4 linked regions of the Arabidopsis thaliana genome follow. The protein of the gene in region 4 interacts with the protein of the main gene of each other region in a pairwise test. Each region holds a gene or a part of one and is shown on either strand. Other genes may lie near its edges. The genes, in order: SWAP70, AT1G12810, SARA1A and AT4G25680.

Region 1 (9,238 bases), on a different chromosome or scaffold from region 4:
AAGAAACAGAAGTACCTTGGAGGTCGGAGGAAGCCAAGAAGAGCTTGGAACCATACAATGACGTAAAGTCCAATTCCAAGCTGTTGGTGATGATTACTGAAGGAATTGTTGAAGTTTATTACTGACATTACTGCCCCTATTGTCACAAGTATCACTGCAACCATCTGCTTCATAAATTAATCACATTGTTAATTGCTCACTTAATATTCCAAGTAAACTATGAGCCGCTTGTTGATAGATAACAATAGTTAAAAGTACTTGCTGCTGTTTAATTATCAAATATTGTTTTGTAACAAAATTGACTAGCTAGTAGGTGAGGTTTCTTAGTTAAGTATCAGAATGAGAGAAAGAGAAAGTCAGAAAGTCGTTAAAGCTAAAAATAAAGAGGAAGAAGATAGATGCTTTAGCTTGGCCTTCAAGTTTCCATGATTATCAATGTGATTAACAATCTAGAATAACCTAAAAGGCCCTACTAATTACTAATGGAGTACTAATTAAAAATCACGAAAAAGTTGTTAATTGGATGCAATCTTTATTGTTTAGATGAAGAGAGAAGCATCTTTGCTTTACTCTCCATCCACCTATCTTCTCGCACCGACCATTAAATTTCATTTTCAACTTATACAATACTTTCAACATACTTATGATTTAGTTTGTTGAATTGTAATATATATTTGATATATATAATTTAAATAAGAGAGCCAAGAAAAATGAAACATGCCTGAGAAGTGACATGAAGAAAGAAGAGTCGTCGAAGAGTGATTATAGGTTGGTCTTTGATAGACATTAATCTGATGGAGATTATACCAATTGGCATCAAAACACCCATCGCTGCCCAAAGCATAAAGCCATGCACTTTGATTTCGTACACAAGCTTTGGATTTAGTTTCTGTTCAAGAAAAATAAAAATAAGAGCTTCATACCAATATATATTCAGAGTTTTTGATTAAAGTTATTAACACGCAGGCATTTTATACAGAGAGTAGGAAAAAAAAACTATAACCTTTAAGCATCATGGAATAATAATATGTACATGACTTACATACATTATAATCATGCGATGATAAATAAACTCAATAGGTTATAAGATCAGAAACAAAGGAAATGCCTGGAGCTTCATTGTAAAGATTTATCAGCTATATCAATGAGATTATGAAGAGTTTGAGATTATTAGATTTTAATTAGGATAAGCGAGAGAGAAAGAAGAGCATACGAACCTCGGAGATAGGAGAAGTTTCGACTGGACCATTGACATCAATGGCCAAGCTTCTGGTGTTTTCTTGGGAGGAGCATAGGGGAAGGAGGAGGAAGAGGAGAGAGACTAAGAGTTGATGATGAATCTCCATGACTTCATGTGGTTTGAAGTTGAAACAATAAATACAAAGTTTAGAATTGATGATAATCAATTCATGAGTTCATTTCATAAGTATAACTGTTAAAGTTTGTGTGTATCTAGCTCTTTGTAAAGAATTGGATGACGGTATATATGGAACTTGAATACTTGATCCACTAGTTTCTTAGCTATAGATAGAAGAAGAGAAAAGAAAAGAAAAGTTTTAGAATTTGCTTTTAGAGTGTAAAGAAATGTGATAAAAAGAAAAAAAAAAAAAGTTAAGCTCGCAACTTTGTTATATAATATGGTTTTGCATGGAGGTTGATGGTTTATTTTACTAGTATCTCTGAATTTAAATGAAGAAAAGCAAGTGGAGGAATGGGCAATCGATTTGATATAACGAACTTCATTTTTGTCAATCTTAATTAGATGTTAATAATGATGTTTTATATCTAAAAAGGACTATATATATATAATTTGAGTATTGAATTTAATTAATGAATGTAAGAAAAAACAGAAGAATATTCAAGTGGATGTCACTATCTCTGCGACTCTACAGCACTTTTGGTTTTCTATGAAAAAAAAAAGAAGAAACTGAAACTGAAAATTCCTTAAGGTCAGATTCATCCAAAAGTAGAATTTTAATGGACTTTTATGTTTTGTGGAAGAATGTCAGATTTTGCAAGGGAAAGTGAGTCATGGCAGGTTGCACTAGCTCATAGACCACTAACAATATGTTACTGTCAACAAACATCATGATTTCACTATGGAAGGTATACATGAATGACCACATCACATGGATATATATTTTCTTATTTTCAAACACTAATCATAAGAACATACCAAATTTTAGATAAATGGTCAAACTTATAAATGTCAAAAGGTGTCCAAATTCTGTAGTATATTATATAGTAGAAGTTTCTTCTTATTTTGGAGATTGAATATAAAGGAGCCAAAAAAATATGGATTTTGATAGCTTCTTAGACGTTTCATTTAGGAAATATATGCATGGTTGGGTTGATGAGAATGCCATAGAAGTGAAAAACAAATGAGAAAATTCATACAAAAGGAATCTACATACGTAGAATAAAGCAAGAGGACCACTTCACGTTTTGCAGCTTTCCCACTTCAGTTAACCCCAAAATTGAATATTGTCTTGGCTTACATGTCTACTACTCTTTTGCTTTGATGCTTTTCAATCCATTTCTGTATCCCCAACAAGTTGTTGTGTTTCCTCCTCCTATGTAGTTATCAGCGCCTAGCTATTAAGGAAAGAGTATCATCATATCACATATGATTACTCAAATCTCATATATTATTGAATATTATGTTATGTACTTATATCATGTTTCATTACGACCATTAGGGAAGTTGTAGTACATTGAAAATCTTGAAGATTAAGAGAAAGTGTAAAGCTGTGTCTAACGCATCTATGTTTGAAGTCCCTGTGAACTAAGTGTCTAAGTCACCACTACCAAGCGTCGAAGCTAGTACGCAATATTTCACAATCTTGCACACATTTGAGATTAGTTGGGCAAAGTAAGAACTCTGCTCTCTCCTAAACGATTGGCTTGTTACAGCCCGGCCCATTGATGTTCCTTAGCCCATCGTTTATGTAAAGCTTCTCCCTTAACAAAGCCTACCTTCTACAGATCTACTTAATCATCCTCATAACCAAAAACAAAACAAAAGAATCATGTGATGACACCTCCACCGTCAGATCAAAAACCATAAAAATGAAGTGAACAAACAAAAAGTGAGAAACTCAAGAACCGGTTCATTTGACGAGTAAGCTGATCCAGTATCGTACCGACCGGTTAAGTTGATTTGATCGCGTTGAAAGAGTGAAGACAGATTCAACTGCAATTCCGCGAAACCAAACCTAACAGCATTTTTCTCCAATTCCTTCTTCTTCTTCTTCTTCTTCTGTAACCTCGTCTTCTTCAGCTTATACTCATAGCTATACCAAAGAAAACCTCTTAAAACCCTTCTTCTCTCGATCCATCGATCAGCAACAATTCACTTCTAATCGATCAAGAGCTTTCCGATCTCGTCGATCCCAATTAACATGGCTTCCAACGGCGCTTCTCCGGTCTTTTTCTCTCTTGATCTCTGTGTGCTACAATTTAGTCTCTTTCTTTTGGCTGCTTTTCTCATTCACACTCTTAAATTGACCCATTTTGTCAATTTCTGAAAATGCGCAGAGAATTGTTGATGCTACTGAGAACAGCTTGGATAAGATCAAGCGACAATTGGCATCTGGCTCTGGTCGGAACTTGCTACAAGGACCTCTTTTCAAGCGATCTGAAACTGTAAGTCCAATTTTTTTAAGTGAAAATGATCAAAACCAGTTTTTGCTTTATTGATTGGGATTTCTTAGTTAGCTCAAACTAAGAAGACTCTCTGATAGCTCACTATTAGATTTCTATAGCTTAAACAAGTCTTTTGGCCTGAAATGTCTTGGCTTATTCAAAGGTTCACAATGATAATATCTTTTGTTTGTGTTTATGTATGAATAGCTGAGAAAATGGAACGAACGATGGGTGATACTTGATCCAACAACAGGGAAAATGGAGTATAAGTGAGTTATATCAATTTGCTTATGTAGCTGCATTTGTGTGTAGACCACTTCATCATGGTTTTATTCATTTCTGATGTATTTCCATGACTCAGGACGAGGCGAAATGAGCCAACTATCAAGGGAACAATTTTGTTTGACGAAAATAGCACAATCTCCATCTCTCCTGTCAACTTCCAGTATGGATGCTACATTCTTTTTTTTGTTGCTCTGTATAATCATCATTATTTGGTGTCTGTTTGTATCATTGACTTTGTTTCTTTTGTGTTTCAGGGGGCTTCCAAAATATAATGGTTGCTGTATTTGTATCCTTGGTTTTAGTAAAATGTTGGCATATTTATAATTGTTTCTTTTGTCTATAAGGAGATAGTTGATTGGAATCTAGAGTTGAATTTTCTTCAACTTGATATAAGATATTGGTACCCCACAGAAGAAAGATTACTTTTTGTGTGCAGAGACTCCTGGTGCAGCTAAAGCTTGGGTCACAACCTTACAGTAAGTCATCTGGATCTTCATCTTTTTGTTTGCTTCTCTTTCTGTCCTTTTTATTTACTTACCATTCTCTAGAGAAGCCACCCCGCTTATTTCATCTATCTTAAATAATTCATAGTTGTGTTGATTTAATGGTTTCGTCGTCGACCATGTTGAAAGAATCATCTTTCTCTCTCTTTTTACGTTTCTTACTGAAAATGTAATACCTTCTAAATGCCCCTCAAAAGCCAATCTGATAAACCTTATCTTTCTTTGTTCGTTCCAGTGCGACACAGCTAGTTCTAAAGGCCCATAAGGAGGCTGTCGAATCTCTAAGTGGAAGTGGTTCTGCAACACTTGGTACCGTTGCAACCGTTGTTGCCGCTGCCAATTCAACAGCATTGGAATGTTCCAGAGAAATTCAAGCAGCAATGCAGATCTCTTTGAGGAATGCATTGAAAATAACGCCAAATAAACCGATTGATGGACCACTAGATGATTTGACAATAATGAAGGTGTGGTATCTTTGCATCTCTCTTTCTCTTCGAATTTGGGAAACTTTTGTGAATAGCATATTGACATCCTTTGGCTGTTGAGATTCTGAAATGTCAAGATGAACGATGAAAGCATATAGGGACACCTTACAGGAAACTCTGCTTGTCAAGGATGAAAATTAACAGAATTAGCATAAATCTTATTCGTCCATCTTCATTCTAATGTCCAGGTTAACCTTATTGAGCCACTTACATCTTACAGGAAACTCTGCGTGTCAAAGATGAAGAATTACATAATTTAGCCAGGGAACTTCGTTCTCGTGACTCAATGATAAAGGAAATAGCAGATAAGCTATCTGAGACTGCTGAAGCAGCTGTAGCTGCAGCATCTGCTGCTCATACAATGGATGAACAAAGGAAAATCGTTTGTGTGGAATTTGAGCGCTTGACTACAGACTCACAGAGACAGCAAGAAGCCACAAAATTAAAGGTAATGAGGCCATGTCATATATAGATACTTTTGCATCCTTGTGTATGTTTTGTTGTTTATTTGATCTTTATCTCCTATGTAGCTCAAGGAATTGGAAGAGAAGACCTTTACTTTGAGTAAGGAAAAAGATCAATTGGTTAAGGAAAGAGACGCTGCTCTCCAAGAGGCACATATGTGGCGGTCTGAGCTTGGGAAAGCCAGAGAGCGTGTTGTCATACTTGAAGGAGCTGTTGTGAGGGCCGAAGAGAAAGTGAGGGTTGCAGAAGCAAGCGGTGAAGCAAAATCAAAAGAGGCTTCTCAGAGAGAAGCAACTGCTTGGACAGAGAAGCAAGAGCTTTTAGCATATGTGAATATGTTACAAACTCAGCTTCAAAGGTGAGCCTATCTGAATCTATCTCCCAGGGAAACTCATGACTTTTGAAGGGTCATAAATCTCTTTATTTTTGAATAAACAGGCAGCAACTAGAGACAAAGCAAGTGTGTGAGGAGAAGACTGAGTCTACTAACGGCGAAGCTTCTCTTCCAATGACAAAGGAAACAGAAAAGAATGTGGATAAAGCATGTCTGAGCATTTCAAGAACAGCCTCTATACCGGGAGAGAATGTAGTCCATATGAGTGAAGAGCAGGTAGTAAACGCTCAGCCTCCGGTGGGAGAAAACGAATGGAATGATATTCAGGCAACAGAGGCAAGAGTTTCTGATGTAAGAGAAATATCTGCAGAGACTGAACGGGACAGAAGAAACAGCTTGGATATCCCGGTAGTGTCTCCTGAACCTAACGTTCCACGCAATGATCCGCCTTCCGAATCATTTCATCACCAGCCTTGAATAAAGATTGGTAGATCTTCGTACATTTTAATATACTCTTTGATGGTCTGGTAATGTTTGGAGAGTTGATTCTTCTAACAACAAAAAGAATTTGTCTTTTTAGTTTTCTTGTACATTCAAGAGTTGTTATGTATCTGCCGCTCTTGAATTTGTCTGACTAGGGAATGATTCTTTTTCCCTTTTATTACAACATGAAGAACAGAGAGATATGTGTTAAACTTTGACTTATGTTTTTGGATTCATATAAACCAGTTTTCATATAAATGCAATCCTTCAACAAACCACGATGGTTGTGATGTTAGTACCAGTTTTATCAAAGACCTACACTGAATAGAGGAATATACATGGGTTGAGTCACTCTGATTTTAAACTCTTATTGAAAAGCTTGAAAAGTTACAGAATACAAGAAACCAGAGACAACAAATGAGACAGAGTTCCGTTTCTTATTGAAACAACAAGACAATCGACCCGAAAACGAACTCCCTCAAAGAACACAAAGCTCACACAAACCCCCCAAGTCAACATCTCCTTGTTTAAACAGGTAGTGAGTACTTAGCGGAAACCTCCTTCCACGCAGCACGGCTACTAATCTTATCCCACCAAGCGCTAACATGCTTCCTATCTTTGATCAAATGAGCCTTCCCAATAGGACCAACAAGATACTCGGTGAAAGGAAGGTGAGCCAAATCAGCTAGACTCACAAAATCACCAGCCAAGTATTCGTTCTTAGAAAGCTGAGCTTCATAGACATCAAGCACTTCTGCAAGCTTCTCTTCACTCTCCTTAATAACTTTCTCATCAGCAGGGAAACCCATAAGTGGTGCAAAGACAATGTTGAGCGTTAAAGCCAATAGTGGTGGATGGTAACTTGTAGCCTCAACGTCTAACCATTGCTCTACTTGTCCTCTCTCTTCAATAGTCTTCCCCAAAAGATCAGGTCCTTGTGATCTATACTTCTCTGCTATATACCTCATGATCGCACGCGACTCTGCAACACAAATCGAAATCTCTTCAACACTCATTTACCTAAACAATCTTTTCCAAACAATCAAAAAAATCTCAAAGATCATGTGATTCATTGATCATGATCGCAAATGATCAGATCCATTATCAGATCATGACTCGTGTAGTAGTAGCTTAAAAGAGAAGAAGTGTACCGAAGATTTTGTAGTCTCCGTCGACGAGGACTGGGATTTTACCGAAAGGCTGCATCGATCGGAAAAAGGGATCATGATCGGAAATAGTCACCGGAAAAAAAGAAACATTTAGTAAAAAAGAGGGAAAATCGGAACCTGAATCGCGAGATACTCAGGCTGTCTCTGTTCTCCTTTCATGAGATCGACATTGACAGTTTCGAATGATACTCCCTTCTCCACCAATGTCACAACAGCTCTCTTTGAAGAAGCGAATAAAGGAGCATAGATTGTCAACACCATTTTTCTTCTCTCTTTTTTTTTCTACTATCAGTTTCTTTCTAAACTCACTATAGCAGGACGCGATTTTATAGAGGGAAAGAAAAGAGAGAGAAAAAGGGATCTGGTTAGCTGCGTTTGCGGTAGTAGGCTAAACGCAGTCGCACTTATTAGTATATTATTATTTATACGTGTCGGTATAGGTGGCGGCTAGCTAGTGGCGGCAACGTTTCACGTCATATTTGACTTTTCTCAGCACGAAATTTCCAACGTCCCATCAAATTATGAATTACATGTGTGTGTTTTTTAACAATGTTATTTATTCATTTTTAATAAGCCTAATAAAGAGAGAGACCACTTGTTGTAAGTATATTTGATTAAAGATATTCCCCACTTTGTTGTAATAAGATGCCAAAATGATTCTCACTTTTTTGAATCAACACATTTTAATAAAATAGTTACGAGACTTGATTACACTTTGTTTTGTTTTGGTTATAAAAAAAAAATGATCAGGCAATGGAAAACCTAAGTTAGCCGATTAAAATTAGGTTGGTGGGTACAAGAAAGTATTTATAAAACGTGATCGAATGAGCCCTCTTATTTTTGTAATTTATGTTCTGACAGATAACATTACTTTATCAACGCAATTATTAGATGCCTTAAACAAAAATTAGTGATCTAATTATCGAAACCAACTTTCATTATAGTGTCTATACTTTAATTTATACTATCCATCATTGGCCCCGAAAGACCAATAAACCTTTTTTCTTTCACTTTTGTCAAATTTGGTAGAGATGTTAAAAAAAAATCAGTGTATCGTCTGATGATGCACTTTATTATCCATAAATAAGCTGAGAGGCTTCTCTCAAAAAGCTTCATGAAAATCAAGATTTTATTCTTAGGGTACCTCTCTCTACTTTGTTTTACTGGTAGAGTGTTTCTTGCTAGATCAGTCACTTCTTCCAATATTCGAATGGTCTTGGTCACAAAACCAAGAATCTTTGGTTATGAATCAAAAGGCCGAGTAAAAGAAGCCAACCTAGATTTTATAGTTGTGGAAGTTCTTTTGTTATCAGACCATGTTCCAACCTAAACCGCAAACTAGTTTGAAGGTATCATCAATTATTTCATACTTCAGTACCTATCCATTATTGAGAGTCGATATGCAATCAATAAGATAGATTCCATCGACTAGGTCTCCCGTCTCGCGCGCTAATCCGACCTTTCATTCATAATTAATTTTCTTAAGCTAGTTAAATCATTCAAGTAGTAGAACTAGGGGAAAAGATCATTTCCTTAAAATTGAAAGCCTCACAAAGCCATAAAGATACTTATTAAACTACAAAAGGAAAGAGAACACAGAGGTGGCAACATTACATTAAGAGGTACATTTAGTTCCACTTTTATTAAACCTCTCATAAAACACAAACCACATCACCAAGAAGATGAACACATCTTAAGCTGGGAATGAATACTTGGCAACAGTCTCCTTCCACGCAGGACGGCTGCTAATATCATCCCACCACGCGCTCACGTGTTTCCTATCTTTGATCATGTAAGCTTTCCCAATCGGACCAACCAAGTAATCAGTGAACGGGAGGTGAGCCAAATCAGCCAAGCTCACGAAGTCAC
Region 2 (7,441 bases), on a different chromosome or scaffold from region 4:
TTTTCCAACGTTTTTCTTCAATCGAATCATCAGCGAGTTTGGTTCCGACGACGATCTTAGTAGCTTCATAAGCTCAAGGTCTCGAAACTCTTTCTAGATCTAGCTCATTTACTTTCTTGTAGATCTGAATCTTAATCTCTGTGTTTAGTTTATCGAGTTTCAGGATCTGTTGTTTCTAAATTAGTTTGTATAATTTGAATCTCGCTTTGTTGCAGATTCTTCAGGTTTCGGTGGATTTTCTTGAGCTCTTCTAAGCTTCTCCATTTTGTGAGCCTCCGATTTCGAACCTGGTAGTGTTGTGGATCTCACTGGACCACGAAGCTTTCTTCACTGAGCTAAGCTTGAAGTCAATTCCTCTGTTCGACAATCAATAGAGGAAGATGAATTATTTCCCAGACGAGGTTATAGAGCACGTGTTTGACTTCGTAGCTTCTCACAAAGACAGGAACTCGATATCTCTGGTCTGCAAATCATGGCACAAGATCGAGAGGTTTAGTAGGAAGGAAGTGTTCATCGGAAACTGCTACGCGATTAACCCGGAGAGGTTGATCAGGAGGTTTCCATGTCTCAAATCCTTAACTTTAAAAGGGAAGCCTCATTTTGCAGACTTCAACTTGGTTCCTCATGAATGGGGAGGTTTCGTGCATCCTTGGATTGAAGCTTTGGCTAGAAGCCGTGTGGGACTTGAGGAGCTGAGGTTGAAGCGGATGGTTGTAACAGATGAAAGCTTGGACCTTCTTTCACGTTCTTTTGCAAATTTCAAGTCTTTGGTTCTTGTTAGCTGTGAAGGGTTTACCACTGATGGCTTAGCTTCCATTGCCGCTAATTGCAGGTAAAGGCCTTTCTTTTACTGGCGTTTCTCTAGGTTTTATGTTGTTTTTAAAATGTGTTGTTGTCTTTCTTATTAGGCATCTTCGTGAGCTGGACTTGCAAGAGAATGAGATTGATGATCATAGAGGTCAATGGCTGAACTGTTTTCCAGATAGCTGCACTACTCTTATGTCGTTGAATTTCGCTTGCCTTAAAGGAGAGACCAATGTTGCTGCTTTAGAAAGGCTTGTTGCTAGGTCACCAAACCTGAAGAGCTTGAAGTTAAACCGTGCAGTACCGCTTGACGCACTCGCAAGGTTAATGAGTTGTGCGCCGCAGCTAGTGGACTTAGGAGTAGGGTCTTATGAGAATGAGCCAGATCCTGAATCTTTTGCAAAACTCATGACTGCCATTAAGAAATACACATCGTTAAGGAGCTTGTCTGGCTTTTTAGAGGTTGCTCCACTCTGCCTCCCAGCGTTCTACCCAATTTGCCAAAACCTTATCTCTTTGAACCTCAGCTATGCAGCTGAAATCCAAGGCAACCACCTCATTAAGCTTATTCAGCTTTGCAAGAGACTTCAACGATTATGGGTAAGTTTGTTCTCACTTTCTCTTTTCACTGTCCTGAAGAAAATAAACTAACTTGCTAACCTGACAACAAATGGTTTTTATGGTTCCTACAGATATTGGATAGTATTGGTGACAAAGGACTTGCGGTTGTCGCTGCCACATGTAAAGAGTTACAAGAGCTTAGAGTTTTTCCCTCTGATGTACATGGTGAAGAAGATAACAACGCATCTGTGACTGAGGTTGGACTAGTCGCCATTTCCGCAGGTTGCCCTAAACTTCATTCGATTCTGTACTTCTGCAAACAGATGACAAACGCAGCGCTCATAGCCGTGGCCAAAAACTGTCCAAACTTCATCCGGTTCAGGCTATGCATTCTCGAGCCACACAAACCTGACCACATTACATTTCAATCACTGGACGAGGGCTTTGGTGCAATCGTACAAGCTTGCAAGGGTCTAAGACGGCTCTCTGTCTCCGGTCTCTTAACCGATCAAGTCTTTCTCTACATCGGTATGTACGCGGAACAGCTCGAGATGCTTTCGATAGCTTTTGCGGGGGACACTGACAAAGGAATGCTCTATGTGTTGAATGGATGCAAAAAAATGAGGAAGCTGGAGATAAGGGACAGTCCTTTTGGGAACGCTGCGCTTCTTGCTGACGTGGGTAGGTACGAAACAATGCGATCCCTTTGGATGTCGTCTTGTGAAGTAACACTCGGTGGCTGCAAGAGGCTCGCGCAGAATTCGCCACGGCTTAACGTAGAGATCATCAACGAGAATGAGAATAATGGGATGGAACAGAATGAAGAAGATGAAAGAGAGAAGGTTGATAAACTTTACCTCTACCGAACAGTGGTTGGGACTAGAAAAGATGCACCACCATATGTTAGGATTCTTTAGTCTCTTTGCACCTTCATGTGTTTTCAAACTTTTCTTTGTACTAGTTTTTGCCTTTTATCAAACTTGGAACAAATACAAATGTCGCATTTTATTATCACCGTAATTCAGCCATTGAAAACATAAATTTAGGTAAAATACCAATCACGTTTTCCAAATAATACAAATTACAATGACATCCACAAGAAACCTACTTGTCTAATCCATGCTCTGGATGAGTGCACTCTCAAACAAAGAGGTAAACATTAACAGACATTGACACACGATAGTACACAAGACATAGAGTGTTATGGCATATGTCTTCGATTAGACACATAATGCTGACAGTAAACGACGAGATCCACAGAGACTGGCGGCATTCTCAGAAGCAGCATTCCTCCAACAAACAGCAACAGCAAAGAGCAGCAAGACTGCAATTCGCAACCCACAAAAAAAAGGATTCCGTAATCGCAATTTGTAAGCAACATGATTAGGCTACTTGAGGTCAATCACAAATCTCTTACTAAAAGAAAAGCTGCAGATGATATAACATTTTATCTACAAACTTTATACTAAATATTATGGGGTTAAGAATGTAAAATAAAAGCCATTAGGTAGTTCTTAAGAGAGTCACTAGATCCATTGAAAAGTAAAAGATCCTGTCCAACAGATAAACATAAAAATGTGTCTATACATGGATAGCTCTAAACTCATCATAAAAAGACAAGAACCTTCCTTAGAAGATCAGCAAAGCACTCAGAGAACTAAATCTAAGGATTAATACGAATCTCTTGCTCTAAAATTTCGATAATTGGCCACCAAACAAAATGATAAAGAAGTCAAGTCAGGGTTCACAACGGAACTCTTGAGTTTCACATTATGGCTTATCCATAAATCAACTCAAAGGAATCTGGTTCTGATCAGGATCATAGTATTCCCAAATTCCATAAACCAAAACACTAGTTCAATGAACCCTGAGCATTAATCAGTGATCCAACATAAAAGCTAACAAGATTGACCAAAAAAAACACAGAGAATCGAATCAGTGCACTCACAACAATGAAAGTAAACGAAAATTAAAAGGCGGCAAGTGGTAGAGAAAGAAACGAACCAGCCACGGATGAAAGAGAAGCAACCAGAGTCAGAATCTTGGTAATGGTGATGATCATGATGGCAGTGGTCGTAATTTTGCGGCGGAGGAGGAGGTGGTGGTCCGTGATGCTGATGAGGATAACCTCCTCCGGCGAAGTAGCCTTGATAACCGCCTTCGTAAGGACGTGAAGACGGTGGTGGATATCCTCCGTAAGGCTGAGGTGGAGGATATCCTTCGTGATGCGACGGAGGAGAAGGATATCCCGGCGGTGGCGGTGCTGATGGATAACCCGGAGGTGGATAGTGAGATTGGTATCCTAATTCGTCCGATCAAAAACAGGATCTTAGTACTTTTAGAATAGATCAAAATAAGAGAATCAGAATTTAGAATCGAAGAGAAGAGAATCATAAGAAGGAGAAGTGATTACGAACGAACCTGGAGGAGGATACGATTCCGGTGGGACTCTGTCGTAGCTCATTTTTTTTTTGTCAAAATCAAATTTCACTTTTCGAATCAGAGAGTTTTTTTTTGAGATTATTGGAAAATATAAATATATTTTAAGTGCCAGGCTTTTCTTTTCATTTAAGTAAATTCACGTGTCACTAAAATCATGTTGCTCACGTTCTTATTGGATTTGGGCCGATAATAATTTTTATTTATTCGTTTGTTTGCTATTGGGCCTATCCACTTATTTGGTAAACATGAAATTCTATCCATCATTCAGAAAAACAGTGTTAAGAAGAATTATTTTTTCAAGTAAATGTTAGAAAAACGAGAGCTACAACTAATAAAGTTCCCATGCATATACTATTGCGCATGCATTTTGATCGCTAAACACAAACGCTTTGTTTTTTTTACGGCGAGAAGCAGTGGAACACAAAGGCAAAGCTATCATAAACACCCCCGCCAGTGACCCGGAACTCATTATCTGGCGGAGATTCCGATATCCGAGGGTAACTATTTCTCTTCTCTGGTGTCTTGCTTGAAGCTGAGCCAAACCTCATGCTTTTTCCGGCAACGGTGGCAGCTTTTTTCTCCAATCTCCGGCGGTTGATATACTCTTCCGATATAAAGACATCCATTTGATAAAAAGGGATTTAAGAAGTGGAAAACCTTTGAGGGTGTAATTTATGGAAATGATTATGAAATAAAGAGATATATGTTTTGATTCATAGTTTGTTGTTTGTTGAGCTAGGGAATTGAAGTGAAAGGCTGAAAGTACATATATTTTATAGATGGGGAAAAACTGTGGGCGTTAGGTTCCATGTTTTGGCACATATATTAACTAACTTATACATATTTATTTTAAATGTTTTCCATAAAAGTTTTTTTCCCCCCGTTATAGATGTGTACTCGTGTTGAATGCTATATGGTTATTAGTTTTGTGAAATAATTTAATAGATAACTAATTAGTAGAACCTAGTTTTCGTGGATTCGATGGATTCTCTTTTTGGTGCAACTTTTGGCTGAATACATATTAAAATAACTTTATTACATCACGTGTATGCATCATATGATGATGTGCATGATATTGGTAATCTCGAGATTCGAGAATCTATCTACTGAAGTATGTGAAAATACAAATAGTCATTATTTATAATTATATAAATTCCTCAAAAATCCAAACGAGGAGCCGTAAACTATGCAAGCCACAGATTATATCGAACGACAATTGTATGATGTTCTCAGCATGAAAACCGCTATAGAACGTAACGCCTATTTATACTTTCAGCTCTTTGTCCCTTTTCTCGTCTCACATGTGTTCGTCCTTGCTAAACTACACTTTTGCCACTGTACTAACATCGATTTATTGTATGGAACGAGAAGAATAAAATGGACTAATTCATAGTCGATATTTGACAATCAGTGGATTAACCAATTAATGTTCGTTAAAGTGCACGAGTTATTTGATGCATGCGTGAATTCAACTTATTTAAAACTTTAGGTAGAGCCGATATGCAAAACTATAACTCTAGCTAGTCCGTTTCCTTTTTCAATAAAAAAAAACTCTAGTCCCTTTTATGACGAACCCACAAAATCCAAACCCTAATCGATATCAAAATAAATAACAATGTTAAGTAAACTGAAACAATGAAATAGCCTCAGTGCATTAGATATTTAGATATATCAGTGTTTATCTATATATACAGATATAATAAACTTCTGCATACATAAAAAAACATGGATTATTTGGTAGAGTTTTCTTCTTTGAGTTTCTTTCCCATCCTTCTATTGGGCCAATTTTAGGCCCATGATAGCCCAATCTTACGCGTGTATGAAAAGATTTGACGTTAAAGCAAATTTCAAAAAACGACGTGTAGTTCATCTCTAAAACGAAACAACGGCAAGACGTTAAAATGCAATCTTTTTTTTGTAGTTGCTCCTTCATCAACCACGTGTCTTCACCTTACTGGTTCAACCAGGAAGCGAAATATTGAGCTAAACTGATAAAGCTCCTTCCTCCGCCATAGCCATTTCTTCCTCTCTGTAGTTCACATAGGGGGAGAGTAAGAGACAGAGCTCAAGCAACAGTCTCACTCGAGATAAAATAAAGTCGTGATTTTGATTGGACCCATGATTCTCATTCGTATAAATTATCATCTTTCGGCTTAATCGGAAAATGGACGTTCTCGCCTTATCCTCTTCCGCTTCCGCCGCCGCACCCTCCGCTTCTCTCGCCGGAAAATTCCTGTCGTTTCCTTCTAGGGTTAGAGTGAGAAGAAACCGAGAGAATTTGTTAGCTAAACAGAAGAAGTTTTTAGTTTCTGCTTCGAAAAGAGAAGAGCCTAAGCTCAACGAATGGGATCAAATGGAGCTCAACTTTGGCCGTTTACTCGGCGAAGACCCGAAATTGACTTTGGCTAAGGTGAGAGATTTCGTAAAAAACGGTTCTTTGAATTTTATGTATTTCGATTTCTCTCTGTTGTGCTGATGATGTTAATGGTGAAATTTATACAGATAGTAGCTAGAAAAGTGGATCCAGAAGCTTCTTTTATTGACATTGAGAAATCTTTCTACAAGAACAAAGGTAAAATTCCTGAAGTTGAAGAGATTCCATTGGATTGGTCAAAGGATAACAAGAAGAAATCTACTAGTTCACTGGATGGATTGAAATTGGTAAAGCCTGTTCTGAAAGATGGAGTCAAGTTCGAAAGGCCAGTGATGAAGAAGCCAAGCCCTGTTTTGAAGAAGCCATTGGTGGAGGCTGTTGCTGCTCCAAAGGTGCAGAGATTGCCTAATGTTATATTGAGAAAGCCGAGTTCGTTTTATACTAGTAATGGTGATGATGAGGAGTCTAAGTTGCGGTTGAAACCGAATCTGACATTGAAAATGAGAAATGAGAGGGAAAATGAGAGGTTTAGTGATATGACATTGTTGAGAAAACCGGAACCAGTGAGCGTAGTTGCAGAAGAGGAAGACAAGCCTCTTTCTGATGATTTAACTATGGAGGAAGGAGAACAGGAAGGTGGAACATATTCACAGTATACTCTTTTGGAGAAGCCAGAAGCGAGGCTCCAGCCTGTCAATGTAGAAGAGGAAGTTGGAGATAGCGGAGGAGTGGAATCATCTGAGATAGTAAACAACTCAATTCAGAAGCCAGAAGCAAGGCCAGAGCTTGAGAACATAGAAAAGGAAGTTGCAGATAGCGGAGTTTTGGAATCATCGGAGATAGAAAATAATTCAATTCCAACTGGTATAGAGACAAACTAAGAATATTTTTAAATAGTCTAACTTTGTGCTGATTCATATGTTTGTTGTTTTATCAAGAAATGCAGCTCAATAGCGAGATGTCCTCTGAGGAGAAAACTATTAACAGTGATCCACTCGAGAGAATTCCTTCGAAACCAATTTCTCAAACCATCGTCGAAGCTTCTTTACAAGGGAAACCACAAAGGTGAATTCTGGTTTAGTATCTTGACTTTGAGGAATTTTGCTTTCTTGACTCCTATTTTCTGTTTTGCCTGACTGGTTACTTTTATTATAGATTAGACCCGTCTTCCGCTGAGCCATCAGTTCCGAACATAGGAAAACCGTCAGTCGTGAACCATGAAGGCCGTCAGGTCTCTGTTGAGCTCAAGGGCCCTCCTAC
Region 3 (6,897 bases), on a different chromosome or scaffold from region 4:
TTTACCCGAAATCCACGCCCATCTTCTGCGTCACTTCCTTCATGGTTCCAATCTCCTTCTCGCCCACTTCATCTCTATCTGCGGATCCCTCAGCAACTCTGATTACGCCAACCGCGTCTTCTCTCATATCCAAAACCCTAACGTTCTGGTCTTCAACGCCATGATCAAATGCTATTCGCTTGTCGGTCCGCCTCTAGAATCTTTATCTTTCTTCTCTTCCATGAAAAGCCGGGGAATTTGGGCTGACGAGTATACTTACGCGCCTTTGCTCAAATCCTGTTCGTCTCTTTCTGATTTGCGATTTGGGAAATGCGTTCATGGTGAGCTTATAAGAACTGGGTTCCACCGTCTTGGGAAAATTAGGATTGGGGTGGTGGAGCTTTATACTTCCGGTGGGAGAATGGGTGATGCACAGAAAGTGTTCGACGAAATGTCTGAGAGAAACGTTGTCGTCTGGAATCTTATGATTCGCGGGTTCTGTGACTCCGGGGACGTTGAAAGAGGTCTTCATTTGTTCAAACAGATGAGCGAAAGAAGCATTGTGTCGTGGAATTCGATGATATCTAGCTTGTCTAAATGTGGTAGAGATCGTGAGGCTTTGGAGCTTTTCTGCGAAATGATTGATCAAGGTTTTGACCCTGATGAGGCGACTGTGGTTACAGTCTTGCCAATTTCTGCATCTCTAGGAGTGTTGGATACCGGAAAATGGATTCATTCTACCGCAGAATCCAGTGGTTTGTTTAAAGATTTCATCACCGTGGGAAACGCTTTGGTAGATTTCTACTGCAAAAGCGGCGACTTGGAGGCAGCAACGGCTATATTTAGAAAAATGCAGCGTAGAAACGTTGTTTCATGGAACACATTGATATCGGGATCAGCCGTAAACGGAAAGGGAGAATTTGGGATAGACTTGTTTGATGCTATGATAGAGGAAGGGAAAGTAGCTCCAAATGAAGCGACATTTTTGGGGGTTTTGGCATGTTGCTCATACACAGGTCAGGTGGAGAGAGGAGAGGAATTGTTTGGTTTGATGATGGAAAGATTCAAACTTGAGGCGAGAACCGAGCATTACGGTGCCATGGTAGATCTAATGAGTAGAAGTGGGAGAATCACAGAGGCGTTTAAGTTTCTAAAAAATATGCCCGTAAACGCAAATGCGGCAATGTGGGGGTCGCTGCTCAGTGCTTGTCGTAGCCACGGAGATGTAAAGCTAGCAGAAGTTGCAGCAATGGAGTTAGTGAAGATTGAGCCAGGGAATTCGGGGAATTATGTGTTGTTATCTAATTTGTATGCAGAGGAAGGGAGATGGCAAGATGTGGAGAAGGTACGAACGTTGATGAAAAAGAACCGCCTTAGAAAGTCTACTGGCCAAAGCACCATTTGCGATGTTTCAGTCTGAGAAGTAGCTGGTTTTTGTCAATAGAGGCCAGACTTATTGCTAAATACGGTAATCAAGTTCATTTGTAAGCACATTTGTATTTTTCTGGCTCGGTGAAAATGCGGCCACCAGGTTTGATTAGTTTCTAATGAATTGATTAGAACAAAAATCTGTTTTGTTCGGTTTCTTTCAACAAAGAAACACAACTACGCCAATAGTATAATGCACAAGAAGTTTGGAGTCGACTTACTACTATTAAAACTTAAAAGAAAACCAGAATAGAGAGAGTGAGATGTCTGATTCATAAAACGTGAAGCAAATCACCAATGCTGTCTTGGTTTCCTACTTGATATACTGAGATAGCCATTTAAAACCCTCGCCATAACCCATTTTGCGGACGATGCTGCACATGAAGACCTCAAGGGGACGAACACCAGAGTCTTCAAGATTCACTATGCCTTTACCGGTAGTGAAATTGGTGAGACCTAAGTAATACCTAAGCTCATCTTCTGAGGATGCATAAGGTATATCAATCTTGTTGCCAAGAATAAGACAGGGAACATTTGCTAAGGCTTCATCTGATAAAAGAGCGTCTAGCTCTCTTTTCGACTCCACAAATCTATCCCTGTCGTAAGCATCCACTAGGTAGACAACAGCATCAACCTTTATAGTTTATACACACACACAGAGAAAGATTTGATTTTGGTTCCATCATAAGCAAATCAATAAACACAAAACATGTAATCTAGTTAGGATTAGGATGTGAACCTTGGCATAGCAGTCTTTCCAAACCCTACGAGCAATCTGATGGCCACCCAAATCAAAGGCCTTGAAGTTGATTTTGCCAATGCTAAGTTCCTCAGACGTGGGATGCTGTGTTGGCTGGTGCTGAACTAATCTCTGCAACACCAAAAGCGATATTAAAGCATCTTCGATTACAAGAATCACAAAATTTCTCAGTAATACATATATTAGTTGAAGAGAGAGCGTAGAAGTAATAAAGCCTACCTCATCTTTGAGCATGTGAAGCAAAGTAGTTTTTCCGGCATTGTCGAGGCCTAAAAACAAGATTTTCGCCTCTTTTTTGCACAACCCTAACGAGGCCAAGATTCCATAGAACCAATCGAATAAAAACATGACGTCTTCTTCCTGATATCGGATTATAATCCACACAACAACCAAAAAAATCACCAGAACAGAATCGGGAGACAGAGAGAGATGAAGAACAGAACAGAAAACCAAAATCAAAGTTTCGTTTCGTTGATGAAGATATAGTTGTATGTTGTAACATTAGTGTATATATATGCAAACAAAAAAAGAAATTAAAAAACACGTGGGTAATGGGGACTGGTAAATTGATGCGGAGCCTTGTGATTGGTAGTCATCATCGTCATTCGATCAATATGAACCGTCGGATCCTAGAACTTGTCGTTGCGATGTTTTTTATTACGTTAAACTTTTTAAGATTAAAGGCTTAATACCACGTGGCAAAACCTTAATGGCCAGGACCCAGGAGAGTTTATTTCCTCCACAAGTTATTATTATGAGCCGTCTGAGGAAAGCTACCCACATTTAATTCAAACACATAGGATACATTTTTTTTATTGTTCAACAGACATGATCAAAGTGTATATACAATGGAGTATTTAACTTTGAAACAGAAATAAAATAACATGTAATTACTGTTTCAACGCATAAAGAATCAAAGTGCTTACGAAGACGAGAAATATTGTAGTTCCGGTGAGACCACGGTGTTTGAAGCAGTCACCCCCGCTTCCTACAGAATGGCCACCACCGGTACCGCCATTACCATTTCCACTGCTGCCACGGCCGCCGCTATTAGAAGATCCTCTACTGCCCCCTTTACCGCTGTTGCCGCCTCGACCACTGCTGCCACCTCCACCACCACCACGACCTCCTCCACCGCCACCACCGCTGCTTCGAAGCTCCCGCTGCCAAACCGGGAAATCTATCTTACAACACGTTTTGTTACCTAAGATGGAATTAGGTTTCAGATGGACGGCTGAGACAGAAGTATTTGTGATTGAAGCAACGGCTTGGATATGCGCATGAATCGCTAGTAACAATAGTAATACGTGAACCATACGTTTCATGAATCTGTGTATCTCCATACTAATCTTTTCTTTTATGTTTATTTATCGCTCTAACCCAAAAAGGAAAAAATGAGCTTTTGTGTAGTACGATCTCTGTTTATATTTCATCTGGTCAACGTCTAAAATCTAACTTCATTTCCTAGGAAAAAAGAAATGGATGCCACTACTAGTCTACTATAGAGCAATATTAGCGAAATATTTACGTTTATGTAAGGTGTCGAGCCTCTCATTTATCAAATTTTGAAAAATTCCTAAGGAAAGGCCAACTAACTTTTTCTTAGCTATGAACAGGCCCAACAACTTTGCTTGGGTCATAGGTCCCACGAGGAAAAAAAAGAATTTTGGATATGGCCTGGCTAAATCTATCTTTATGTATTTTTGTTATGTTCAATTTTACGATCATTACAAGCACAAACATTAACTTAAGTAGGTCTATTTACTATCTTTAATTTCTGTTTCATTTCGTTTAATTTCTGAATGAGTCTAGTTACGTTCCATTGGTTTCATTTTCCAGGCATAATCAATACACAACATTAAGTGACCAAACTAAACTAACCTATTACAATGTCTACCTCTTCTCATTCCGTTCACGACCCGCAACACGCATCACAGATCATTTTACAATAATCTACATCAGGTTACCAACTGGTGCTAAACTAATTAGTCTCAAGTTTCCAAGCATTATACGATATATAGCAACATATAACTTCGTGGTAATACGTGTCTGTTTTTTTCCCAATATCGTGTGTATTATATACACCATTAAAATATTATATCTTCACCAATTTTTGAATGAGTTGGTATCATGTACTCCATGAATGTATCACAAAGCGAAAAAAAAAGAATTAATATTATTGAAAAAAGTCTACAAGAAATTGAAGTATATAATTTTCAATGAATTGGATTATCAATAGGGTCACATTCAAAGATGTGGTTACAATCATCAAAGCAAAACTTTTTTCGTTTGTATTTCTAAATATCTTATTTCTTGTTGACTGAATTATATATATCTCGAAGGAAAACTAAAAATAAATTTTCAAGCTGACTTTTATTCAGCTGGTTATAAAACCATCGAATCATGTTTATATTGGCTTTCAAAACACCTCTACATACGCAAGAAAAAATAGTTATACAAGGTAGTTGTCCAACCAAGAGTTTCATTATAAGCCTTTATTTCTTCATAGAATTTAGAGATCCCCAGAATTTATTTTCACTTTCTAATTTATTATAAGGGAAGTAAAATAGCTCTGCATAGAATTGCACATTTCTATTGGTATATAACTAGCTACACATGCAACTTTTCAAATTTAAACATAAATTTTAATAAGACAATGGTATTACTTATTAGTACAAAGAGATACAAATTCTGTTTAGATCAACTGGGAATTGTAATCGCTAAGAATTTTTGTTAAAACATAGTACAAATTTATTTATTCCCATTATAAAACCTAGTGGATGGTTGGAAACTACATAAACGGGTTATAAATTCCGTAGCTATAGAAGTTCGTACATATTAAAATGGAGCAATTAAGAATAATAAACAGAAAATGATTTATAATATTGAAATTGTCCATCTATAGAAACCCAGGAGACTCGGGGGCCTCTGAATCATGCCTCGCTCTTCTTCTTCGTTTCCTTTTTCTGTTGTTTTAATTTCATACAAAGAACAACAAAAAAACAAAAAAAAAACAAAGAGAGGGTCAAACATTTTTTTTGTTCTCTCTCAATTTCTTTCATTATATTTTCTCTTCCTTATAAATCTGAGCAATGTTCCACATATAAGTGAATATTCTTGTATCTATCTACACAGCTTTGATTTTCTTTGTTCGGTTTTGGAAAAATCTGTTTCGAGTTAAGAATTCTAAATTTTGGTTGTGAGATTCTAGTGGTCGAGATTTGGGGTTTGAGAATTTTCCAGGTTTCTTGTTGATCAAGCTAAGAGCATTGAATCGTTTCTTGTCAATGGCGACGGAGCAACAAGATTCACAACTTTGTTTGGCGACGATTCTGGAGGATTTTCTTAAACAACGAAACATTCAAGTTAGCGTTGGTGTGGATTCTTCGAGCTTGAAAAAAGCCGATGAAACTTGTACGTTCGTCAATATTCCTCTGTTCTTTCTTTTTCTATTTGTCCTTTTGGTCCATTTTTGAGATTAGGGTTTGTAATTGATAATTGAATTAGGGAATATAGATGGATTACATAATTTTTTTAGGATGATCCATCGCATTTTTTGAATCCATATACCGCGTGAGCTTCTTGTTTCACCAATGATTTTCTGAAATTTTGTTGTTACGATCTTTATATTTGTTTACCTAGATCATCATGAAACATATTTCATATTTTTAAGTGCTTATTTTAATCATCACAATTGGTGTAGTTGGAGGAAGGGATTTGCCAGTAGATCCTTCAGACTTGAGAAGGTATGAAGCAGCAAGGTGGGTAAGGAACACACTTGGTGTAGTTGGAGGAAGAGATTTGCCAGCAGATCCTTCAGAGGAAGATTTTAGAATTGCATTAAGAAGTGGAATTTTACTCTGCAATGTCCTCAACAGAGTTAAACCTGGTGCTGTCCCAAAAGTAATGTCTCTCACCTAATTTCTCTTATGTTTTCCTCTTCTTTATTACAGAATATTTTATGCTCAACTTTTTCAAAGACTTTTTTGAAACGTTTAGGCCTGCTTGTATAAAGTTGTGCAAGCATGATTAGTACAACCATTTTGTGTAATATTTTTATAAAAGAGGTTGAGAAATTGATTCTTTTGTTGCCGATACCTTTGTTATTAGGACCGTTTGTTCTGATTGTTTCAGTCTTGATTCAGGTCGTCGAAGCTCCAAATGATCCTCTTGTTAATCAAGACGGTGCAGCTCTATCTGCGTTTCAGTACTTTGAAAATCTTCGAAATTTTCTTGTGTTTGTGGAGGAAATGGGTATTCCAACGTTTGAAGTCTCCGATTTTGAGAAGGTAATGGTTAGGTTCGAATCAATGGTCATCATAGTTATTCAAGGCAGCTTGACCTACCTTGCCGGAGGGGTTACCTAGACAAAGCTGAATTAACATTGACACACATTCTGTTTTGTGCTTGATGTGTTGTTCTCAGGGAGGTAAATCCGCAAGAATCGTGGAGTGTGTTTTGGCTCTAAAGTCATATCGTGAGTGGAAACAGAGCGGAGGAAGCGGTACATGGAGATACATTCTGAACTCAAAACCAACCACGTTTGGCATTGCAAAACAATACAAACGCAAAGACTCAGAAGTACCTGTGGATGCTGTCACAAATAGCCCTTCTAGCACTCCATCAAGTGAACAACCTTTGTTAGATCAATCTGATTCTAATACCAAAAATGATGTTAGTTAGCTATACCAATGCCTCCCTAGCTAGTATTGATTAAAGTTAAAGCTCTC
Region 4 (7,762 bases):
AACCAAAATGAGTTGTTATTTTTAACCTAACCAAGATCACGATTATTCGGTTCCAATACGAAAAATAAGTAAACCCCACGCGTTTTGCAATTTCCATTTTCTAATGACAAAGAGCTTAAGGTTCCCCAATTTGCTACGTGTCTTAGCTACACTTAAAAGCTTAAGTCCACTGAATTTTTTAAAAATTAAGAGAGCATTCTTGAAAACGCTTATGCATTAAGTTGTTTTCAAAGTTGGGACCGAAGTCTCGATCAATCGTTCGAAGAAAAGCTACATGGATTCTGAAGACGGTTAATAGCTTTGTTATGAAAGGCACAACTATGCATATCTATTTCGGGTCATACACATTTCCGTCCCAATTTTTTCCGTTCCATGACCATACCCGTTATATTATTATTTGTTTGGAAAAATTAATTATTTTAACAGATACATAAAGGGGTAGGATATAAGACGACGAGGGTCTAAAATCTAAATTATTAGTTTGATTTTTTCTTTAAAAAAGTTACTTCAAAATATTAACAAATGCTCAAAAAAAATTACAAATTTAAAACCATCCGAATCACGTGAAATACATGATCTTGTATATTTGAATAGTGAAAAAATTGAGATAATAATTTTAGATAGCTGAATTAAGCTAATGGACAAGATATGGTTGCACCGGTCCAAGTGTAGTAGATAGACGTCCCAAAGAAGGAAACTGCAAGTAAAATTTGCTTCTAAGTCATTTACCACGTGGCTTGTTTTGATTGGATACAAACAACAAGTCAGCCTACGTTTCTTGAACTACTGTATGTCATGTTCTGTCTCTATAGAGTCTTCTGGATCCAGAAAGCTACGTTTCTCTTTCTCTCTTTGTATTATCCGATTAAATTTTAGAGTAGTTCTTTGAGTCAGCTGCTTCTATGCCATTTTCTAGAGGTTTGGATCCAATTTCATCATCTTGTTGATCCGTTTATCTTCAATTTCCATAGATTTTTTCTAATTGAATTGACTTCTTTCGAGAAAAGTTTTTCGAGCAGTTTCATTTGTTCATCAGATTTAATGCTTAATTATGGGTTTCTGAGGCAGATCTGGTCACTCTCGATTGATTGCTTCTAGTTTGCATCCATTGAAATGATCAGGCATTAGCTTGTTTGTTGTATCTTCTATCTTGTGTTATTGTTGACTGTTGAAATCGTTAGTTGATTTATGTTTGACCACTTTCTTTGGACTTGGTGTCTTTTTATGTTCCTTGAATAAAGTGGAATGTTTTGCAACTACAATTGTTAGCTTCTACAAGTTTGAATGCTATTGTTTTGACTGTTGCTTTAAGATTGATGTTATGCACAAGGCTTATCTGTTTCTCCTTTGCAACTACTATAAGCTAATCAAGTAATCGTCAATGCAGAAAATGGGAGAGTCTACGGGGTGTGGGAAAGGAGGACTAATGATTCCAAATCATAAGTCTGCTAATTCTTATAACCTCTCCCTTGAGTTGTCTCTTGTTGACTCTGTTTGGGATTGTAATGTTCGGACCATGAGGTATTCCTATATACCTGAGTGGTTGTAGTCTTTGAAATCCTCTTAGACAACGAGTTTAGTGCATTTTACTTTAGTTGGAATCAAAGAGTTATAGCAAGCAATAATGGATCACACGTTGTGCAAGCAAGTTGTTCAGCCAGTTACTAGGAAAGTGAAGAAGCATGGTAAAGATGAATTTGATCGTATCAAACAAGCTGAGAAGAAAAAGAGACGTTTGGAGAAAGCTCTTGCTACTTCTGCAGCCATTCGGGCTGAGCTTGAAAAGAAGAAGCAGAAGAGATTGGAAGAACAACAAAGGTTAGATGAAGAAGGAGCTGCAATTGCAGAAGCTGTCGCTCTGCACGTCCTACTGGGCGAAGATTCTGATGATTCATCTCGAGTCAAGTTTGGCGAAGAAACGGGTTTCGGAATGGATCTGTTTAGAGATGAAAGAACCAACTATGTTCCTCGCCAAAGTTGTGCTAGCTATGCGGTTCAAGGGATTGGGTTTGTGTCAAATGGTTATGGACTAGGAGATAGTAACTGGTCAGTGTCATATAAGCCATTCATGAAGGATGTCTGGGATAACAACATGGTAATATCTGCAGATTTGATTGCTGCTCAGGCTGTTTCGTCACTACAGATATCTGAGGACGCTGATAGGAACGCTTATGTCTTCGAGACGATGTTCGGGGGATGACAAAAGCCATCGTGCCAAACTTGGCTGCAGAAACAAGTGTTTGCTATGAGTAGAGTTGCAGTTTTTTTCTTTATTCTAGAACCCCTTTTGGTGTGAAAATTCCTCCTCGTTGTTTATCTTTTGATGTTAGACTAGCTGAAAAGATGTTTTCTGAATTCTCTTTGTAACATTCACAAATACGTTCTAAGTTTTATACAGATTACAGAGTACCTCTTGAATCACGTGATTATCCAAATTCAGTCACAATTTCTAGTGTATTGAGACTAATAAACCTTTTGATGTTAAGATTTGACAGTAACAAGCGAGAATGATCTTAACAAAAGCACACGTGAGCTAAAAACTCAAGAAAAAATGACAGGTTCCAACGTTGATACAGAGTAATGGGTACAGACGAGGAGAATAGTGCGTGACTCTTAGACCGGTGGATATACAGCTAACCGAATGCATTGTGGTGGATCGGTACGGTTGCTACTGAAACAGTAGAACATCAGAGTCACGGCTTTGTTTCTTCTGATTGGTGACTGCATGATTTGCATCTTCATCTTTGTTCCCTATCTCTGTACTAGTGGAGGGTTTGGCTGTGTTAAGTAAGCCTTTGAGCCAACTACCTTGCAATCTCAAGTTCCCGCTGTCTGAATTGTTGAGAGTTCCCGGTCGTTGTGGAGAGCCATTGGAGCCATTGGTTACGTTCGAAGTAACATTCGAGAGGAAGCGATAAGCCACTTTACTAGCTGACACAAGTTCAGTTTTGGCTTGCTTCATCTGCAAAATCCCAATTTACAAGTTTTGAACACCCATAATGTTGCATTTACGTTGTAGAGAAGCTAAACAAAAGGGAACCCACCCGCATTGCTGTGTTTCCTGCCACTTCCAAGGCTGTGTCCCCAGCATTAGCAAAGCGATTAACCCAACCTGTTAAGAGACAGAACCCAAGCCGTCACATAAGCCTTGAAGACAAAACACACACACACACACACCAGATTCCCAAAAAATGGCTTTACCTGGGATCTTTGGCACACCAAGCCGGTCACAGAGTACATCGCAGAAGTGATTGCAATTTTTTGACAACAAATCATAAGTGTGTCCAGGCCATTCCCTGCTGAGTTCACGCAACATCTGATTCACCATGAAGATTGTGCAATCTGTTTTGCCAAGGACGATTTTCTCACGGTATGTGTACATTGGATTCTTTCCACTCGGGCAGCTGAATACACCAGTTCCTAGTTCACAATACCCGTAAGACCATTCATCGTTTCCATATACCTGCACAAAGGTCATAAAATATTCTATTCAATCACTCTTCCCTGCGAATCAATAGTCATCTACAAGACACAAAAAAATAACAAAACCATGAACAAGAATAATCAAATGATATTGCATAGATATACAGACCTAAGAACATAGAATGATTAGCACTAACTTGAAAACCTAAATTCTGGTAGTTTTGTTGGAATACACCAAATTGTCACGACTCAAATGGGAAAGTGGTATATGCAATTATATTTGCCCAGGTCAAAGATCACAGAAGTAAACGTAAGCCATCATTGGATTTAACAAGTCTCCAGAGAGCACTTGGTCAATATATCGCAATCATTATCATATGGAAAGTTACCAAAAGTACTAGGAAACACAAGATCCTGAGCAAAAGAGAGACTTCAGCTCCAGACCTTTAGGACCATAAACCATTAAACTAAAGCCTCACATATCAAAAGAAAAGTATCATGCCGTCAACTTCTTAATTTCCACATACATACACAGAAACAAAAACCAAATCTACATAAAGTAGACCAAAACCAAGCTTAGACATCATCGATAATTGTACATAAATGTAGATTCATAGAATATAGACGAAGAGTAGTACCTGAATAGCGCTGTGGAATATACCGCCAAGACCGATCCCGTCTTTGAAGAACCTATTGATCTGAACAATGGTGTTGTTAGTCTTCTCCGATCCACTGTTCGTCACATCGTATATATGCAGAACAACCTCCGTCATTGATTCTATATTTACCAAGCAACACGAACCCTAATTTCCTACCAAAAAGAGCTCGCAGATTCTCTCTATATAGAGCTTTTGGTGAAGAAGGAAACCTAAAGACTCGTACCAAATCCACTTCTCCGTTTAACGAATCCAACAACTACTAGATCTCCCCGAAAAGAAATCTAAAGGCACAAGATTAGACTTATCTTTCTTCTTCCGATTTCTCAATTTCAGACGTAGGAGATGAAGAAGAAACTGGTGCGGCGGTGGTGGTGGTGGTGGGGATCCACTGAAATGACAATTTTACCCTCGCTTTTCCTGCGGAATTGCTACTTTACGTGTCCCTTGTTAATTCCTTTTGTTTACAACTTAAGCACGCGTTTAGATTATGAATTTATGGTAACAAATTATATTAGTATGAACGTTGTTCGCAGTTGATTAAACGGGTCAACTACTGAACCTTTTTTCTTTCATTTAACTAACATTTCTTTAGCTAGACAAGTGTCCTTACCAAAACAAATCAAAAATACTAGTAAAGCATCTCTATAACAAAATAATGACTTAAGTAATCTGACACAACCAAGGAAGATGATTCATGACTATTAAAAAATGGGGTAAACAAAAAAAAAAGAGGGTAATCAATTGACCGATTCTTCCGATAATTTTCGAAAATGCAAAACGGACACAAGTCTGGTTTTCGTTAGCCATCTGATTCGTCTCGAATTAGTCCATCCATTCATACACCAAATTTATAATTTTGCTTCTATGTAAAAAAGTCAATCATAAAAACTTAATGACTTCTTTTTTATGGTACATACATATTGGGCCAATTGGGCCTAGGCCCAGTACAACAGATGGGATTCAGGAAATAAATTAGGACCAAAGAAATTCGACCAAGTTTTTTGTTATATCAAAAGTGTATTCAAAGTCTCATTTTGGTGGATGAATCTTGAATGGGATGCTCAAAGCACAAACAAAGCTTAGTCAAGTTGATAAACTTTGAATGCAAATTAAGCTCTTATATTTTATTGTAATGTAAGGTAACATGACACTTGTACATATTCGTGAAAGGCTCAAATTTTCTTTCTTACATGATAAATATTGCAAAGTTGGAACCGGAAGTCGACAAAAAAAAAAGTTGGAACCGGAAACATCTCAAAACAGTTATCGGGGGATCTAACGGCTGCTAATAGCCCTCATTAGGACCCACAAAATACTGGGAGTAGACGAAGTCGCACCGGCCAAGTCTCCAAAGTCCCAATTGAAAACTTACACTTGAAAAAAAAGTCAGACATCATTCGACACGTGTCCCCATTTCATTAGAAGTCGCGCTGCGTTTCTTTCTCTGTACTAGTTATAATTCCTTCTATTATCCTCTCTCTCTCGTCTTCTTCGTCTGCTCTTCTTTTTTATCTCTCGAAATTCCTCTCTCTTTCTCTCTGCATCAAAACAGCAACTTTACTTCTGCGTTTTTGTTTATCTCTCTGTATTATCCGATTAATTTAAAGGAGTTCTTTGAAGGCAGCTGCTTCTATGCCATATTGCCGAGGTTTGGATCTAAATTTCATCATCATCTTTGTTTCTCCGTTTATCTTCAATTTCCCTTTATCTTTTCAATATAATTGACTTATTTCGTTAAAAGTCTTTTTGATTAGCTTCCTCGGATCTTATGCTTATTCATGGATCTTAGACCTACATAATGGATTAAATCCGATTGTTTCTCTTATTGTTCTTGTTGAATTGAGGTTAATTTTGATCTGAAAATTAGTTTCTGCGGCAGATCTGGTGTCTGTATTTGTGTAATTTGTATCCATTAGTCTTAATTGAGTTATTAGCTGAGGATTAAGAGAGATCCTGAAATTTGCCGTGGAATTAACTCTTTCTGTGGATGGATGGATACCCTTTGTATTCTTCAACTTTGCTCCTACTCTGGGAAATTAGGGTTTGAGTAATCATTAGGTTTTACTCTTTGGCTGTTGTTGACTATCTTCAATCTAATTGGTGGCTGATTTTGTTTGACTTCTTTAGGACTTTTGGTGTCTTTCGAGGTCATTAGAACAATTGTGTCTGCTTGGTTGGTGGTCTATCTACAACTGTTAGCTTTTACAAGTTTGAATGCTATTGTTTTGGCTTTCAGATTTTGATGTTATGGATTTCTGTGTTACTACTCCTCTGCAACTTGAAACTAATCAAGTAATTGTCAATGCAGAAAATGGGCGAGTCTAAGGGGTGCGGGAATGTTGGACGAATGATTTCGAAGAATAAGTCTGCGAATTCTTATAACCTCTCTCTTCAGTTGTCTCCTGTTGTTTCTTTCTGGGATTGTATTGTCCGCACCATGAGGTATTCCTATATACCAGAGTGGGTGTAGTTCTTGAGTTCCTCTACAACATCATCGAGTTTAGTGCAGTTTTTTAGTTAGAAATTTATAGTCAAGCAATAATGGATCACACGGTGTGCAAGCAAGTTCAGCCAGTCGTTAGGAAAGCGAAGAAGAAGCATGGTAAAGATGAATTTGATCGTATCAAACAAGCTGAGAAGAAAAAGAGACGTTTGGAGAAAGCTCTTGCTACTTCTGCAGCCATCCGGGCTGAGCTTGAAAAGAAGAAGCAGAAGAGATTGGAAGAACAACAAAGGTTAGATGAAGAAGGAGCTGCAATTGCAGAAGCTGTTGCTCTGCACGTCCTACTGGGCGAAGATTCTGATGATTCATCTCGAGTCAAGTTTGGTGAAGAAAAGGGTTTCACAATGGATCTGTTTAGAGATGAAAGAACTAACTACGTTCCTCGCCAAAGCTGTGCTAGCTATGCGGTTCAAGGGATTGGGTTTGTGTCAAATGGCTATGGACTAGGAGATAGTAACTGGTCGCCATTCACGAGGAGGGGTGCTTGGGATAACAACATGGGAATATCAGCTGATTTGATTGCTGCTCAGGCTGTCTCGGCGCTACAGATATCTGAAAATGCTGATGGGAACGCCTTTGTGTTCAATGGGATGTTCCGGGGATGACAGATGCCACGACTCGTCCTCATTCGGTTTTTAAAATAAACATTTGCCTTCTGCTTGCTTTGGTGTCAATGCTCTGTTTTTTTCTCTTGACGTTAGACCTTATACTCTGTTTTCGTTCGCTGTAATATTAAAGACGCATTTTGAGTTGTATCTATTATACATGTTGAAGTCTCTTCATACTGCATTGTTGCTTATCTTATATCACATTCTTTTAACAAACCCTCTAATAGGTGTGCAATGCATATGCTAAGACTTGCTTGGTCTTTGCCAGTAACGTGTTGAAAATATCTTCTTAACAAAATCACACGTTCTGCTGTGAAAAGGGGAAAAAAAAAGAGAGGTGTGTTCGAATCGTGATACAAAGTAATGGATACAAACGAATAAATTTTGGATAGGTGGATATACAGTAAGTGAATACATTGGGGTGGATCAGTACAGTTGCTACTGAAATAGTAGAACATCAGAGTCACGGTTCTGCTTTTTCTGATTGGTGATTGTATGATTTGTATCTTCCTCTTTGTTCCCTATCTCTGTACTTGTGGAGGGTTTGGCAGTGTTAAGTATACCTTTCA

What was found.
Region 1: the proteins of AT4G25680 (region 4) and SWAP70 interact in a two-hybrid assay, tested with the Arabidopsis thaliana proteins (one large-scale study listed by BioGRID).
Region 2: the proteins of AT4G25680 (region 4) and AT1G12810 interact in a two-hybrid assay, tested with the Arabidopsis thaliana proteins (one large-scale study listed by BioGRID).
Region 3: the proteins of AT4G25680 (region 4) and SARA1A interact in a two-hybrid assay, tested with the Arabidopsis thaliana proteins (one large-scale study listed by BioGRID).

The regions. Positions count from the first base shown.
Region 1 is NC_003071.7:13,139,882-13,149,119, reverse strand, and holds SWAP70 (Pleckstrin homology (PH) domain-containing protein), read left to right. Parts: upstream 1-3,059; 5' UTR 3,060-3,401; coding exon 3,402-3,425; intron 3,426-3,537; coding exon 3,538-3,645; intron 3,646-3,852; coding exon 3,853-3,914; intron 3,915-4,006; coding exon 4,007-4,090; intron 4,091-4,184; coding exon 4,185-4,216; intron 4,217-4,324; coding exon 4,325-4,406; intron 4,407-4,668; coding exon 4,669-4,897; intron 4,898-5,138; coding exon 5,139-5,366; intron 5,367-5,448; coding exon 5,449-5,741; coding exon of another isoform or gene 5,742-5,745; exon of another isoform or gene 5,746-5,821; coding exon 5,822-6,194; 3' UTR 6,195-6,455; downstream 6,456-9,238. Other genes in the region: AT2G30890 (Cytochrome b561/ferric reductase transmembrane protein family), read right to left, coding at 16-164, 722-889, 1,218-1,346; GSTF10 (glutathione S-transferase PHI 10), read right to left, coding at 6,728-7,182, 7,352-7,400, 7,487-7,630; GSTF9 (glutathione S-transferase PHI 9), read right to left, coding at 9,063-9,238.
Region 2 is NC_003070.9:4,363,720-4,371,160, reverse strand, and holds AT1G12810 (proline-rich family protein), read right to left. Parts: upstream 3,906-7,441; 5' UTR 3,830-3,905; coding exon 3,787-3,829; intron 3,668-3,786; coding exon 3,370-3,667; exon of another isoform or gene 3,142-3,369; coding exon 3,043-3,141; exon of another isoform or gene 2,690-3,042; coding exon 2,641-2,689; 3' UTR 2,357-2,640; downstream 1-2,356. Other genes in the region: AFB3 (auxin signaling F-box 3), read left to right, coding at 381-832, 909-1,404, 1,497-2,282; AT1G12805 (nucleotide binding protein), read right to left, coding at 4,206-4,433; AT1G12800 (Nucleic acid-binding, OB-fold-like protein), read left to right, coding at 5,972-6,217, 6,310-7,045, 7,120-7,246, 7,337-7,441.
Region 3 is NC_003070.9:2,960,765-2,967,661, reverse strand, and holds SARA1A (secretion-associated RAS super family 1), read right to left. Parts: upstream 2,640-6,897; 5' UTR 2,516-2,639; coding exon 2,387-2,515; intron 2,279-2,386; coding exon 2,147-2,278; intron 2,042-2,146; coding exon 1,721-2,041; 3' UTR 1,690-1,720; downstream 1-1,689. Other genes in the region: AT1G09190 (Tetratricopeptide repeat (TPR)-like superfamily protein), read left to right, coding at 1-1,399; AT1G09176 (uncharacterized protein), read right to left, coding at 3,058-3,510; AT1G09170 (P-loop nucleoside triphosphate hydrolases superfamily protein with CH (Calponin Homology) domain-containing protein), read left to right, coding at 5,455-5,581, 5,871-6,070, 6,313-6,456, 6,593-6,841.
Region 4 is NC_003075.7:13,084,859-13,092,620, reverse strand, and holds AT4G25680 (PPPDE putative thiol peptidase family protein), read right to left. Parts: upstream 4,649-7,762; 5' UTR 4,197-4,648; coding exon 4,062-4,196; intron 3,464-4,061; coding exon 3,202-3,463; intron 3,113-3,201; coding exon 3,045-3,112; intron 2,963-3,044; coding exon 2,669-2,962; 3' UTR 2,460-2,668; downstream 1-2,459. Other genes in the region: AT4G25690 (stress response NST1-like protein), read left to right, coding at 1,625-2,200; AT4G25670 (stress response NST1-like protein), read left to right, coding at 6,624-7,190; AT4G25660 (PPPDE putative thiol peptidase family protein), read right to left, coding at 7,632-7,762.